Saccharomyces cerevisiae S288C: one gene and its partner. Changing the gene in region 1 together with any one later gene gives a genetic interaction. Each region holds a gene or a part of one and is shown on either strand. Other genes may lie near its edges.

Region 1 (6,608 bases):
GTATTTGTATTGAATTACTACTCACAAACTATTTAAAACATCAAGCCAAATATATGCGGAGCACAGAGAAATATTTGTGAATTATATCTTTTGTTGGAAAGACAAGCAACTATCCTAGCGACATTAGGATTGCCAAGACATCCGGTTTTATTCAGACCCTTACATCAGCAGCAGCACGTTCCATCTTTTCAAACTTCCTGCCAAACATTTATGAAGACATGAAACTCTAAAATGTCATCTATTTATAGTAGTCATATTACTATTATATTATTACATGCGGTGTAAGAAGATGACATAGGATTGGGACACAGTCATCGAACTTAATGGACGCTGAAGTGCAAGGATTGATAATGTAATGGGATAATGAAACATATAAAACGGAATGAGGAATAATCCTAATATTATCATGTAGAAATATCGATTCCATTTTGAGGATTCCTATATCCTCTAGGAGAACTTCTAGCATATTCTATATACCTAATATTATTGTCTTTGTGAACAATGGATTCCCACAAATTATCTCAAAATTCACAAATATCTCATTCTCGCATTCCAACAGTTATGTTACTCATTCTATTCGTTTGTTATGTGTGTTTTATGAACGTTTGGGATGACGTATTGTCATACTGACGTATCTTATTTTGAGATACAACATAGTTGTATTTTTAGCCTCCTTAGCTTAGTGGTAGAGCGTTGCACTTGTAATGCAAAGGTCGCTAGTTCAATTCTGGCAGGTGGCATTATACCGGTATTATTTTTTTTCCCTTTGTTCTTATTTCTCTATCATTTATAACTTTATGATTTTTTAAAGGTTGAATGGTCAATGTGAAAATTAAAACTAAAAACATATAGTTGACAAGTGAGAAAAAGAGCAAAAGGGAGAAAAGAAATTGTTAGAATAAAACCATGCTGTTAGAATTGATTTCTTATGCAGGAACCGTTTCAGGGTTTCTTTTTTTAACACTTTCAATTGCATCGGGTTTATACTACATTAGTGAACTTGTTGAAGAACACACAGAACCCACAAGACGGTTTCTCACAAGGGCTATTTATGGTATAATATTAATATTAATTCTGCTACTGTTACTAGACGGTTTCCCGTTCAAACTTACACTTTTTTCCATTGCATGTTACATAGTATATTACCAAAACTTAAAAAGTTTCCCATTTATTTCGTTAACCAGCCCAACTTTCCTATTAAGCTGCGTATGTGTGGTCTTGAATCACTACTTCTGGTTCAAATATTTTAATGATACGGAAGTTCCCCCACAGTTCAAATTTGATCCAAATTATATACCACGCAGACGTGCTAGTTTCGCTGAAGTAGCCTCATTTTTTGGTATATGCGTTTGGTTCATACCATTTGCCTTATTTGTTTCTCTGTCAGCTGGTGATTATGTGCTACCAACGACTAGTGAGCAACATATGGCTAAGAAAAATGATGACATCACAACGAACAACCAGCCAAAATTTCGTAAAAGGGCTGTTGGGTTAGCTCGTGTAGTCATCAACTCGGTAAGGAAGTACATCTACTCTCTAGCCCGTGTATTCGGTTATGAGATAGAACCTGACTTTGATAGATTGGCTGTTTAGGATTGCCTTTTTTTTTAACATGTAGTTAGTTTTTCTTTATTTGAATATTCTAAATAAGAAATATGTGTAATGCTCTGCCAACTATTTTGCACAGGAAAGAAAAATCACCAATACAATACTACTATATTTTACCCAAGTTAATACGGGAAAGTATATTTTCTTTTCCATATTTTTCTTTTTTATTGACGTTTGCATTTTTTAGAGCAACTAGTAAACAAAAAACCAGTCAGGCCCAGTAGATTAAGTATTGTCATTACATAGACAAAGGCAAGAGAAAGAGAGCATTTTCTTTCGGTCTCTAGTTATGTCTGTTAAAGAGCATAACGAAGAAGATATTATTGGTGATGAATTACAGAATTCGAGGCAACTCTCCATTGATTGCGACTCAGTTAAAATTTCACTAAGGAACACATATTGGACCAAAGACTATACAACAGGTATCAAATTATTCATAAAACATATGAAGAGAGAAAATGATTTGCTGATTAAAGACATCAAATTTTACAATGATTTTGTCAACAAATTTTGGAAACCAACATTGAACAATTTACAAAAAATGGAAGCAACCAATTCAATGAATAGCAGGCTGCTGGAAGTGATGAGCAAACAGTTTAATATAATATCAACAGAGCAAGTTGAAAGAGATTGTAAAATTCCATTGCAAGAACTAAGAGATCTTAATGAGAGCTTCCTTCGTGAGGCAGAAAACGATTTGTCATCTCGTTATTCAGCTTACATTAAGGATTTAGTCGCAGCTAAAGAGGCACTAATTGGATGTGAGAAAAGAGTTCAGTCTATATATAAATTGAAAAAAGCCAATACGCCAGTGGAAAATTCTTCCTCTGTTTTTGATAATGGAAAGGATAGTGCACCGTTAACCAGGTTGAACTTCGTATGCGAGTTTCCTTACACTTTAGACGAGAGGTTAAAATTTGAGGATTGCGACCAATTTATGTCATTTTTGCAAACCTTGAAGGGAAAAGTCATCCTGGAGAAAAGTGTCTTTTCCGTTCCAGGATTGTCAAATCAAAGTTTCCAAGGCAGGTCATTGATCAAAGAATTGAAAAAACTTGAACCCAGACTAAACCTGTCCTTATTTAATATCGATAGGATAGGTAACGAATTCATCCAACTGGGTATAATACAAGAATATTCCCTGAGTTTTTACTCTAGCAAAGTTTCTCAGTTTGACCAGGAAAAATACTATTACTGGAACAGTGAAGTCCTTGCTACGCAAGAGAGTAATGGTAATGCTGGAAACAGAAAAAAAAAATCGTATGGTGAGTTAACACACTCCGACAATGAACACGAAGAAAAGTCCAACGTTTCATCTATCAAAACATCTATATCCGATTGGATCCGCAAAGTTAGTCAACATGATAATGATGATTGCGATGCAGCGGGAAGTACAGATATGAATAAAAATGAGTGGAAGAGTTTAAAACAGCAACTTGAATCATCACAAGATATTTTTTTCTCCAAGTGTTGCCAGTTGGAATATTCTAAAGTGCAGTTGGAAAAAACCATTTATGATTATTGTAAAAATTACTCTAAAATGGAGGACGGAATCAAACGAGCTCTAGAATCATCAAACATGATGTTTCAACAAAAATGTGAAAAATTTACTGACTCACCTGTGTGTTCTCTACAAGAAGCACAACTGCCACAGGAAACTGCCAATGCGGATGTAAGAGGGTTTTTCCTCAGGGATAATGGCATACCCTTTCGCAGGTGGAATATCCTAGAAGCGAGTGATCCAGTCGACGCTTGCAAAGAAATCTCCATAAAAAGCGAAAAGTTTTTCTGTGGTAGTGAAATAAATAATGAACTGGCTGCTCTTGATACGTTAGGGGCAATAAAGATTATACTGCGGCAGATTGAAAAGGAACCAAATGCTAATAAAGTCATACAAAGTTGGCACAGGGATATTGATTTTGTAAGGGTTTCTAATTTGAAAAGAGACTTATTGGGGGAATTCAAAGGATCGAAAACTACCGAAAATACAAACTCTATAATCACTGCTCATTTTTTTGAAAACTCGCACAGCTATGTCACTAATGATCTCGTCGGACTGATAAAATTATGGCTGTTAGAGCTACCCGACAGCCTAATACCTTCAAACCACTACGATGACTTAATTAAGGCCGAAAAATCGCTAACATCCCTATGTGAACAGTTTCCGACGAGCTCCTTAAGGTTTCTACAAGAACTAGCAAACCATTTTCAATTGATCAATAGCAAATACTCACTTCCGCCGCAAACAATACAAGATTTGTTTAGAGACAACAGTGACATAGACATACCATTGGCCCATCACTTCGTAAGAAGAACAGGCTTACAGAACCCTATCGACATCAAAATCTTGTCACCAACATTATCTACATTTTTCATCAACGAAAGAACTGTAGAAACTTTGCAAACGTTGATCGCAAACAGGATCACGACGGCAACTACTGCGACACTCACTGAACCGCCGACGATAATTATAAAGGATACAACGGCACCTATACACTCTACCCCTAAGCCACCGCCAAACGACAAGGATGGCCATTTCATACCTCGGCCATTCAAGACTAGTTCTACTCCGACAACCCCAGAGAGACCTAAACGTAAGAGTGGTTTATTCCTTCCCATCAACGTCAACGATGTCCCTTCTACATAACTCCATGCATGCTACATAGTAACTACGTAAATCACCTGCTACCTCTCTGTTCTTTCGTCCCGCCTCGAGGTTGTGCTGCTTTTGTACCTATTGTGGCTGTCGGTGTTACATTACGGTGCCTCGGTGTTACGCGGTGCTTCGTCCTGGTGGTCCACGCGGCCTTGCGCTTTGGCCTTGGTGGGCTTCGAGGCTGTATTATATAAATGGGCCTGATGTTCGTTAAAAGCTGCAGTATTGTTCCTGAGCTTGTTTCTTTTTCAAAGGTTTCCTTTTTTCTTAGTGGGGTCCTTTCTTACATAATAAAGTAAATAGCCTGATACATATAAACCTGTATTGTTGCCATTACAGAAAAAAGCCACTTTCTATACAAAAACTACAATAAAATGTCTGCTGATTTCGGTTTGATTGGTTTGGCCGTCATGGGTCAAAATTTGATCTTGAACGCTGCTGACCACGGTTTCACTGTTTGTGCTTACAACAGAACTCAATCCAAGGTCGACCATTTCTTGGCCAATGAAGCTAAGGGCAAATCTATCATCGGTGCTACTTCCATTGAAGATTTCATCTCCAAATTGAAGAGACCTAGAAAGGTCATGCTTTTGGTTAAAGCTGGTGCTCCAGTTGACGCTTTGATCAACCAAATCGTCCCACTTTTGGAAAAGGGTGATATTATCATCGATGGTGGTAACTCTCACTTCCCAGATTCTAATAGACGTTACGAAGAATTGAAGAAGAAGGGTATTCTTTTCGTTGGTTCTGGTGTCTCCGGTGGTGAGGAAGGTGCCCGTTACGGTCCATCTTTGATGCCAGGTGGTTCTGAAGAAGCTTGGCCACATATTAAGAACATCTTCCAATCCATCTCTGCTAAATCCGACGGTGAACCATGTTGCGAATGGGTTGGCCCAGCCGGTGCTGGTCACTACGTCAAGATGGTTCACAACGGTATTGAATACGGTGATATGCAATTGATTTGTGAAGCTTATGACATCATGAAGAGATTGGGTGGGTTTACCGATAAGGAAATCAGTGACGTTTTTGCCAAATGGAACAATGGTGTCTTGGATTCCTTCTTGGTCGAAATTACCAGAGATATTTTGAAATTCGACGACGTCGACGGTAAGCCATTAGTTGAAAAAATCATGGATACTGCTGGTCAAAAGGGTACTGGTAAGTGGACTGCCATCAACGCCTTGGATTTGGGTATGCCAGTTACTTTGATTGGTGAAGCTGTCTTTGCCCGTTGTCTATCTGCTTTGAAGAACGAGAGAATTAGAGCCTCCAAGGTCTTACCAGGCCCAGAAGTTCCAAAAGACGCCGTCAAGGACAGAGAACAATTTGTCGATGATTTGGAACAAGCTTTGTATGCTTCCAAGATTATTTCTTACGCTCAAGGTTTCATGTTGATCCGTGAAGCTGCTGCTACTTATGGCTGGAAACTAAACAACCCTGCCATCGCTTTGATGTGGAGAGGTGGTTGTATCATTAGATCTGTTTTCTTGGGTCAAATCACAAAGGCCTACAGAGAAGAACCAGATTTGGAAAACTTGTTGTTCAACAAGTTCTTCGCTGATGCCGTCACCAAGGCTCAATCTGGTTGGAGAAAGTCAATTGCGTTGGCTACCACCTACGGTATCCCAACACCAGCCTTTTCCACCGCTTTGTCTTTCTACGATGGGTACAGATCTGAAAGATTGCCAGCCAACTTACTACAAGCTCAACGTGACTACTTTGGTGCTCACACTTTCAGAGTGTTGCCAGAATGTGCTTCTGACAACTTGCCAGTAGACAAGGATATCCATATCAACTGGACTGGCCACGGTGGTAATGTTTCTTCCTCTACATACCAAGCTTAAAGGAAATCTCCAACCTGGACATAAACCAAAAAAATTTAATGAAATAGATTAGTTATAGTAAAAGTAATCATAATAATAAATAGATAAATAAATCCAAATGCAATTATAAATAGTATATGAAGTTATGTGTTTTCTAAAATATTAAAGGTTTATAAACGGGGTCCCGAAACTATCTCCATTTCTTTTTTTTTTTTTACGTAAGGAAAGGCAAACAGGCGACACAAAATCATGAAGTCAGAAAATAAAATAAAAGTGAAAAATTTCACAATAGTGCCTATTATCATGATAGAAGTAGAGTAGAAAAGCTAGCAACAATGAGAAGCTCTGGCACATATGAGAATGATCCTTCTGGGGAAATAACCTCAACTTCCCCAAAGCAGTCGAAGCAGAAAAAGCCTACCAAATTTAGGGAAAGAATGCGCAGGTGGTTACAAAATGGGAAAAATAACAACCACCAAGGAGAGGAGGATGTTCCTGAAATATTTAACAAGAATTTTTAT
Region 2 (5,652 bases), on another chromosome or scaffold:
GAAGTTTGACAAATTAACGAATTCGCATTTCTTTATTATGCCATAAATCAAATATTATTCAGGACATTAGTAAAATATTGTAACATTCTCCTCAAAAATGAGAGGAGAATAAAAATAACAAAAGCGAAGAAATGCGACGTCATTTACTCATTATTTTAAACTAAATAAAAAAAATATTGTAACTACTTATCGTTGTAATGATATCTTTTCTTCAAAAAAATATATAGTTGGTGATAAATATGACCTCTTTGAAAAAAAGAAAAGGAAATGAACTACTAGCTAGAAAGAAGAGAGAAAAAAAAAAAAACTAGATTATGCGTGTTGCAATTTTTGCTTTAGGCCGTGCGTGGTTTTGTGTAAGGTTTCATTATTCTTGATGGGAATCGATTGGCTTTCGGCGGGTTTAGTGGTGTGTCTAGTTGGAGCTGGAACGGTGATTGGATCTGGGATTTCCTTGCTTCCTACCAGATTGTAATCACCATCTTTTAGGTTTTGCTCCAGTTCACGCTGATGAGCTGCTAATTCTTCTTCAATATCAACTGTTCTTGGATCATATGTCTTGACATCTGGTTTACTGAAGTTTTCATGCCTGTTGTTGAAATCCTTCTCTGTTGGTATTTCCTGCTTCCCAGATTTTAAGGTGCCAATATTCTCATTCTGAGAAACTGGATATTCGGCTCGGTTATATTGAGAGGTAGAATAGCTGTCTTTGCCACTTTTGGAGGCTGACGTGTCGTTCATGTTGTCAAACTCAGAAGAGGAAAGGCCGCTCTTGTTACGTTGAGAAGTAGAAGATTTGTTTTCGTTACTGATAGAGGTTGAGTAGCTGCCTTCATCGGTTTGGGGTGGGATAATCTTGTCAATGTATGGTTCAGTCTTTTCAACCACCTTGTTGTAATTTTTGTGAAACCTATGAATAACTAGATCCTTCATCCTGTCGATAGCACGGTCAATTCTAGCCTGCTTTCTATCGTAGATTAAAGGCACAGTGTACAAAAAGATGGTGGTCATTATCAAAACAGTGTTCATAGAGAATATAGCAAATAGGCCGTGCAAGAAATAGAGGGAAACACCAATGGTAAAATTGTTTCTTGTTCTGTGTGCAAACACTAACTTTCTGATTCTGTCCTCTAACGCAGGCAGACGATCCAATTCGCGGTCGATATGAGGCTTTAAGACGCCAACAAGGTCCGGAGACTCTTGCATGCCAAACCTAGACACTACTCCTTTATCAAATAGCACCTTTGTAGAAAGCTCCACCGCAAAACTCGTGAACAACACCATGTATCCGATCTTAAGTAAAACAGAAATAACATTGACATTTCTGAGGATCAGCAAACTCACCAGAGTCGCAGCAAAGCTCGCACCCGACTTGCTAGGGTTAGTCCAGTATATCAATCCCGTCTTGTTCTGATGACCTGCTTCACCGGGAGCGTTAGCATTTCTACTGTTATTCAAATTCGCGTTCTTATTGGTAGTCGTATTCCTATTCATGTTGATGATAGTTTGTGGCAAGTTGAGACAAGCAATTGAACAAGTTATTACTACTATTGCTACATAATTGATCTGCTTTTCAATCCCTTTTATATATTTTTTTCATCAAAGTAGCAAGCTTTATCGTTTGAGGGTGGAAATAAGGGTGAACAATAAGGGGAGATTGCCTATGCGCCTAAACGTCACCGTCTAACCTTGTTCTCCTTTCAACAAAAACGCCTTGCGTTCTTATTGCTAGGCCACAATTACAAGCATCTCAAATGGGGCATTATCACACCGGTACCACCGACACATTCTGCTGCTACCCTTGTAGTTTAAGTTAACTTTGCGTCCACTTTTCGTAATTATTTTGCTCCCTGGCAGCACCGGGGGTAAAGATGTCTTTCTGGCTAATGCAGTCATCCTTACATTGTCGTTCGTACGGCAGTCCAGGATTTTTGACCATCTTTACGCAGCAATTCCCATATAACATTCCTTCTCTCCTTGTCAATTGACCCTGGGGAGCGTCTGACCAATAAGAAACCGATGAGTAAGCAATGAAGGTCTTTTTTTTGGCTACGAAAATTTCAGCAATTTTTTAAAGTGAAAAAGTAAAAAAATCAAACATAAAAAAAGAAAGAAAATGAAAAAGTAAAGGAACGCTTTATATAAACGAGGCTACTAACTATCTGTATTATTGCTACACATAGCCTGAATTCAAGGTCATTGGCAGATTGACGCTCGTGTTTGCATGGTACAGGGCTGTATTAGATTTTGAATATTCTGTTCTTCTCATCCCGTATTAATATCTAGAACAATAGAAAAAAAGAAAAGCGAAGAAAATCTAGATAAATTTGTAGTTGGTAAATACACACGTACTATGGGCCCTGAAACTCTACATATTGGTGGGAGAAAATCGAAATTGGCGGTAATACAATCCAACCATGTTTTAAAACTGATCGAAGAAAAGTATCCGGACTACGACTGCAAGGTTTTCACTTTGCAAACTCTTGGTGACCAGATTCAATTCAAACCTTTGTACTCATTTGGCGGTAAAGCTTTATGGACAAAGGAGTTGGAAGACCATCTTTACCATGACGATCCCTCAAAGAAGCTTGACTTGATCGTTCATTCTCTGAAGGACATGCCCACTTTACTACCAGAGGGTTTCGAGCTGGGGGGTATCACTAAGCGGGTCGATCCAACAGATTGTCTTGTCATGCCCTTTTACTCTGCTTATAAGTCTCTGGATGACCTTCCAGACGGGGGGATTGTGGGAACCTCATCCGTGAGAAGATCTGCTCAGCTAAAAAGAAAATACCCACATTTGAAATTTGAAAGTGTCAGAGGAAATATACAAACTAGATTACAAAAACTAGACGACCCAAAATCTCCGTACCAATGCATCATCTTGGCGTCTGCTGGGTTGATGCGTATGGGGTTGGAAAACAGAATTACGCAGCGATTCCATTCGGATACAATGTACCATGCAGTTGGACAAGGCGCCCTGGGTATAGAAATTAGAAAGGGTGACACCAAGATGATGAAGATTCTTGACGAAATTTGCGATCTAAATGCAACTATATGTTGCCTTTCGGAGCGTGCTTTGATGAGAACTTTAGAGGGGGGTTGTTCCGTTCCTATTGGTGTGGAATCTAAATACAATGAAGAGACTAAAAAATTACTATTAAAGGCCATTGTAGTTGACGTTGAAGGCACAGAAGCAGTAGAAGACGAAATTGAAATGCTAATAGAAAATGTTAAAGAAGATTCCATGGCGTGTGGTAAGATACTAGCTGAAAGAATGATTGCCGATGGCGCAAAGAAAATTCTGGATGAAATTAATTTAGACAGAATCAAATGAACACCATTAATTTGATCAGTCCAAAAACTCTATTATTACTAACTAAAGTTCCCTTTTTTTTTTTTTTTTTTTTTTTTTTCCTTATCTCCTTTATCTTTCAGTTATTTATTTCCCTCTCATTCCTCTCATATTACTTGTTTAATTTAATGACCATTTTCAAATGACCACTGCATAAATATTTTGTCAATTAGAATATGTAATTCCTACCTTTGTTTATTTTATACTATTCATACAAGCTTCGTTGTTAATATATTTATTATAGCTTGTATATAAAAAATGAAATCTTGATTTATTAAATTACACTTGGTGAACTTCTAAAAAAACACTAATACATGTGACAACTATATACAACGTAAGAAGTGCAATACTAATCTTCTTGTCAATTTTCCAGTCGTTTAATGGTATCAAAACCGTAAATATCAAAAACGCGATCAGAATTCCGACTCCAGTATTGATTAAGTTTTTATCCACTTTAAAATCAATATGATGCATTAAAATATTACTATCTCTGCCACTCACTATTTTTCCAGTTTTGTCGCCTAGCATTATCATAATTCCATCAAATCCGACGCCAAATAAGAAATATAAAAGTGGACTGCCAAAACAAGCTCCTATCGCGATTTCTAAAACACCTATTTTGACGAATGTAATATTTGACACTAAATCACCAATCGAATTACCCCATGTAAAAATGGTTAAACCTAGTATTGTTTCCGATATATTAAACACATTTATCCAATGCGTTAACGTGACTACAATTATGTGGACAGCTTTCGAAAGACAGGCCAATGACAATAAAAATGCTACTGTAAAGATTATATCAGAGTTGAACTTGTTCGGTATGGTCCTAGTTTTAAAATATAATAAGATGGCTATCACCAGCGATAAGATGAGCAACCAAAATGAAAAGTTATTTGTGATGAGTTGGTTGAGAATTATTGGCGAAGCAATCAATTGAATATTCTGTAGGTATGAAAGGGGTAAGTCATGGTCTGTTTGACTTATCTCTGATGGTATTGAAAGATAAAGAATTATTGATACCGGCGTAGTGACTAATAATGACAAGAACTCAAAGAAACCAATTTCCAAGGACACATCTGTTAAGTAATTGTAAAGTTGGAAACTATGCCAAGCGGTTCTACTCTTTGTTGAACAGAGAGATAGTGTTCTATCGAGAATTATATCATCTCTCTCATACTGTAAGAGAGAGTTGTCGATAACATCTGATATGCTGTTCAAGGCATTGGTAGATTCCTGTGTACGTGTAGCCTCGTCATTTAATATAATATTATTACTCCGGACCAAGTTTGGAATGCGATCGCAGCTTAATGATTTCTTGGAGGTTTTTTTTTGTGGCACAGTCAAAAACAAACTTGTGGGTTCATTATAGTAAGTTTGATACTCGTTTTGGGGAGCAGAGATTGCAGTATCCAGCGCATTTGAATTTTCCCCATTCCGTAGGGACAAATATTTGTAAAAATCCTTAGGTTGTAATGAATTCATCCTTTTTCTTATTAAAGGCCTCCCTTCTTCATCTAAAGAAGCTTTAGTAAATAAATGAGTATCATCGGAGGGTAAAGACAACGATTTTACTGTATTGTTAAAAAGATTCTGCTTCTCCCATATATTCAAAAGATCTTGTAACGTCATTCTTACCCAGCCATGATAATGCGACCGTAAATATCCCCGTATTCTACGTCTTATTAAATCCCTTCTTTCAGGTATACCTTGATTAAATCTCGAAATGTTATCCAGGGATTTACTTGGTAAACGAGTTGGATCTAAACTAATAGCGTTGTCCTCATCAATCTGTGTATCCCCCAAAGGCCTTACATATCTTATTCCATCGTCTGTGGATGTAATGTCACTGGTAGTCGTTAATGTAAATCGATTTGGAACAGTGATATGATTATTTGCAAGTACAGTTTTTTTTATTTCTACCTCTCTTTCTAAAGCATCATTGATTTCGCAGGGATATTTGTAGCTTTTTATTAAATAGACAGCACAACAGCAGTAGGTTAAAACCATGACAATACACTCCCAAAAGTACAGTCTTCCATCTGCTAGAAAAGTGCCCGAAACTAAGAGCATAAAAGTGAATATTCCGACATCCAATATATAATTGCTTCTATCATACGATAAATTTTGGTCAAAGCTTTCTTCTGTGTAAGTTTCAATAGACTTGTCATGTTGAAATTGAATAGTGGCTACGCAGCCCATTAGTCCAATCACAACGGTTAACAGAAAAAATATGCCACCAAATAACTCACCAATGGCCAAGGAAGTCACGCCAGATTTCATCGACTGGTAAGTAC

What was found. Genes that interact genetically often act in the same process or in processes that back each other up.
Region 2: mutations in GND1 (region 1) and HEM3 together harm fitness less than expected from each alone (positive genetic interaction), as found in Saccharomyces cerevisiae (one large-scale study listed by BioGRID).

What each region holds. Positions count from the first base shown.
Region 1 is NC_001140.6:466,322-472,929, forward strand, and holds GND1 (phosphogluconate dehydrogenase (decarboxylating) GND1), read left to right. Parts: upstream 1-4,638; coding exon 4,639-6,108; downstream 6,109-6,608. Other genes in the region: SVP26 (Svp26p), read left to right, coding at 907-1,593; RGD3 (Rgd3p), read left to right, coding at 1,898-4,255; SSP1 (Ssp1p), read left to right, coding at 6,423-6,608. UniProt on the Saccharomyces cerevisiae protein: Catalyzes the oxidative decarboxylation of 6-phosphogluconate to ribulose 5-phosphate and CO(2), with concomitant reduction of NADP to NADPH.
Region 2 is NC_001136.10:90,447-96,098, reverse strand, and holds HEM3 (hydroxymethylbilane synthase), read left to right. Parts: upstream 1-2,353; coding exon 2,354-3,337; downstream 3,338-5,652. Other genes in the region: ACK1 (Ack1p), read left to right, coding at 1-17; RTN2 (Rtn2p), read right to left, coding at 313-1,494; YDL204W-A (uncharacterized protein), read right to left, coding at 1,814-1,966; YCX1 (Ycx1p), read right to left, coding at 3,635-5,652. UniProt on the Saccharomyces cerevisiae protein: Catalyzes the tetrapolymerization of the monopyrrole porphobilinogen (PBG) into the hydroxymethylbilane pre-uroporphyrinogen in several discrete steps.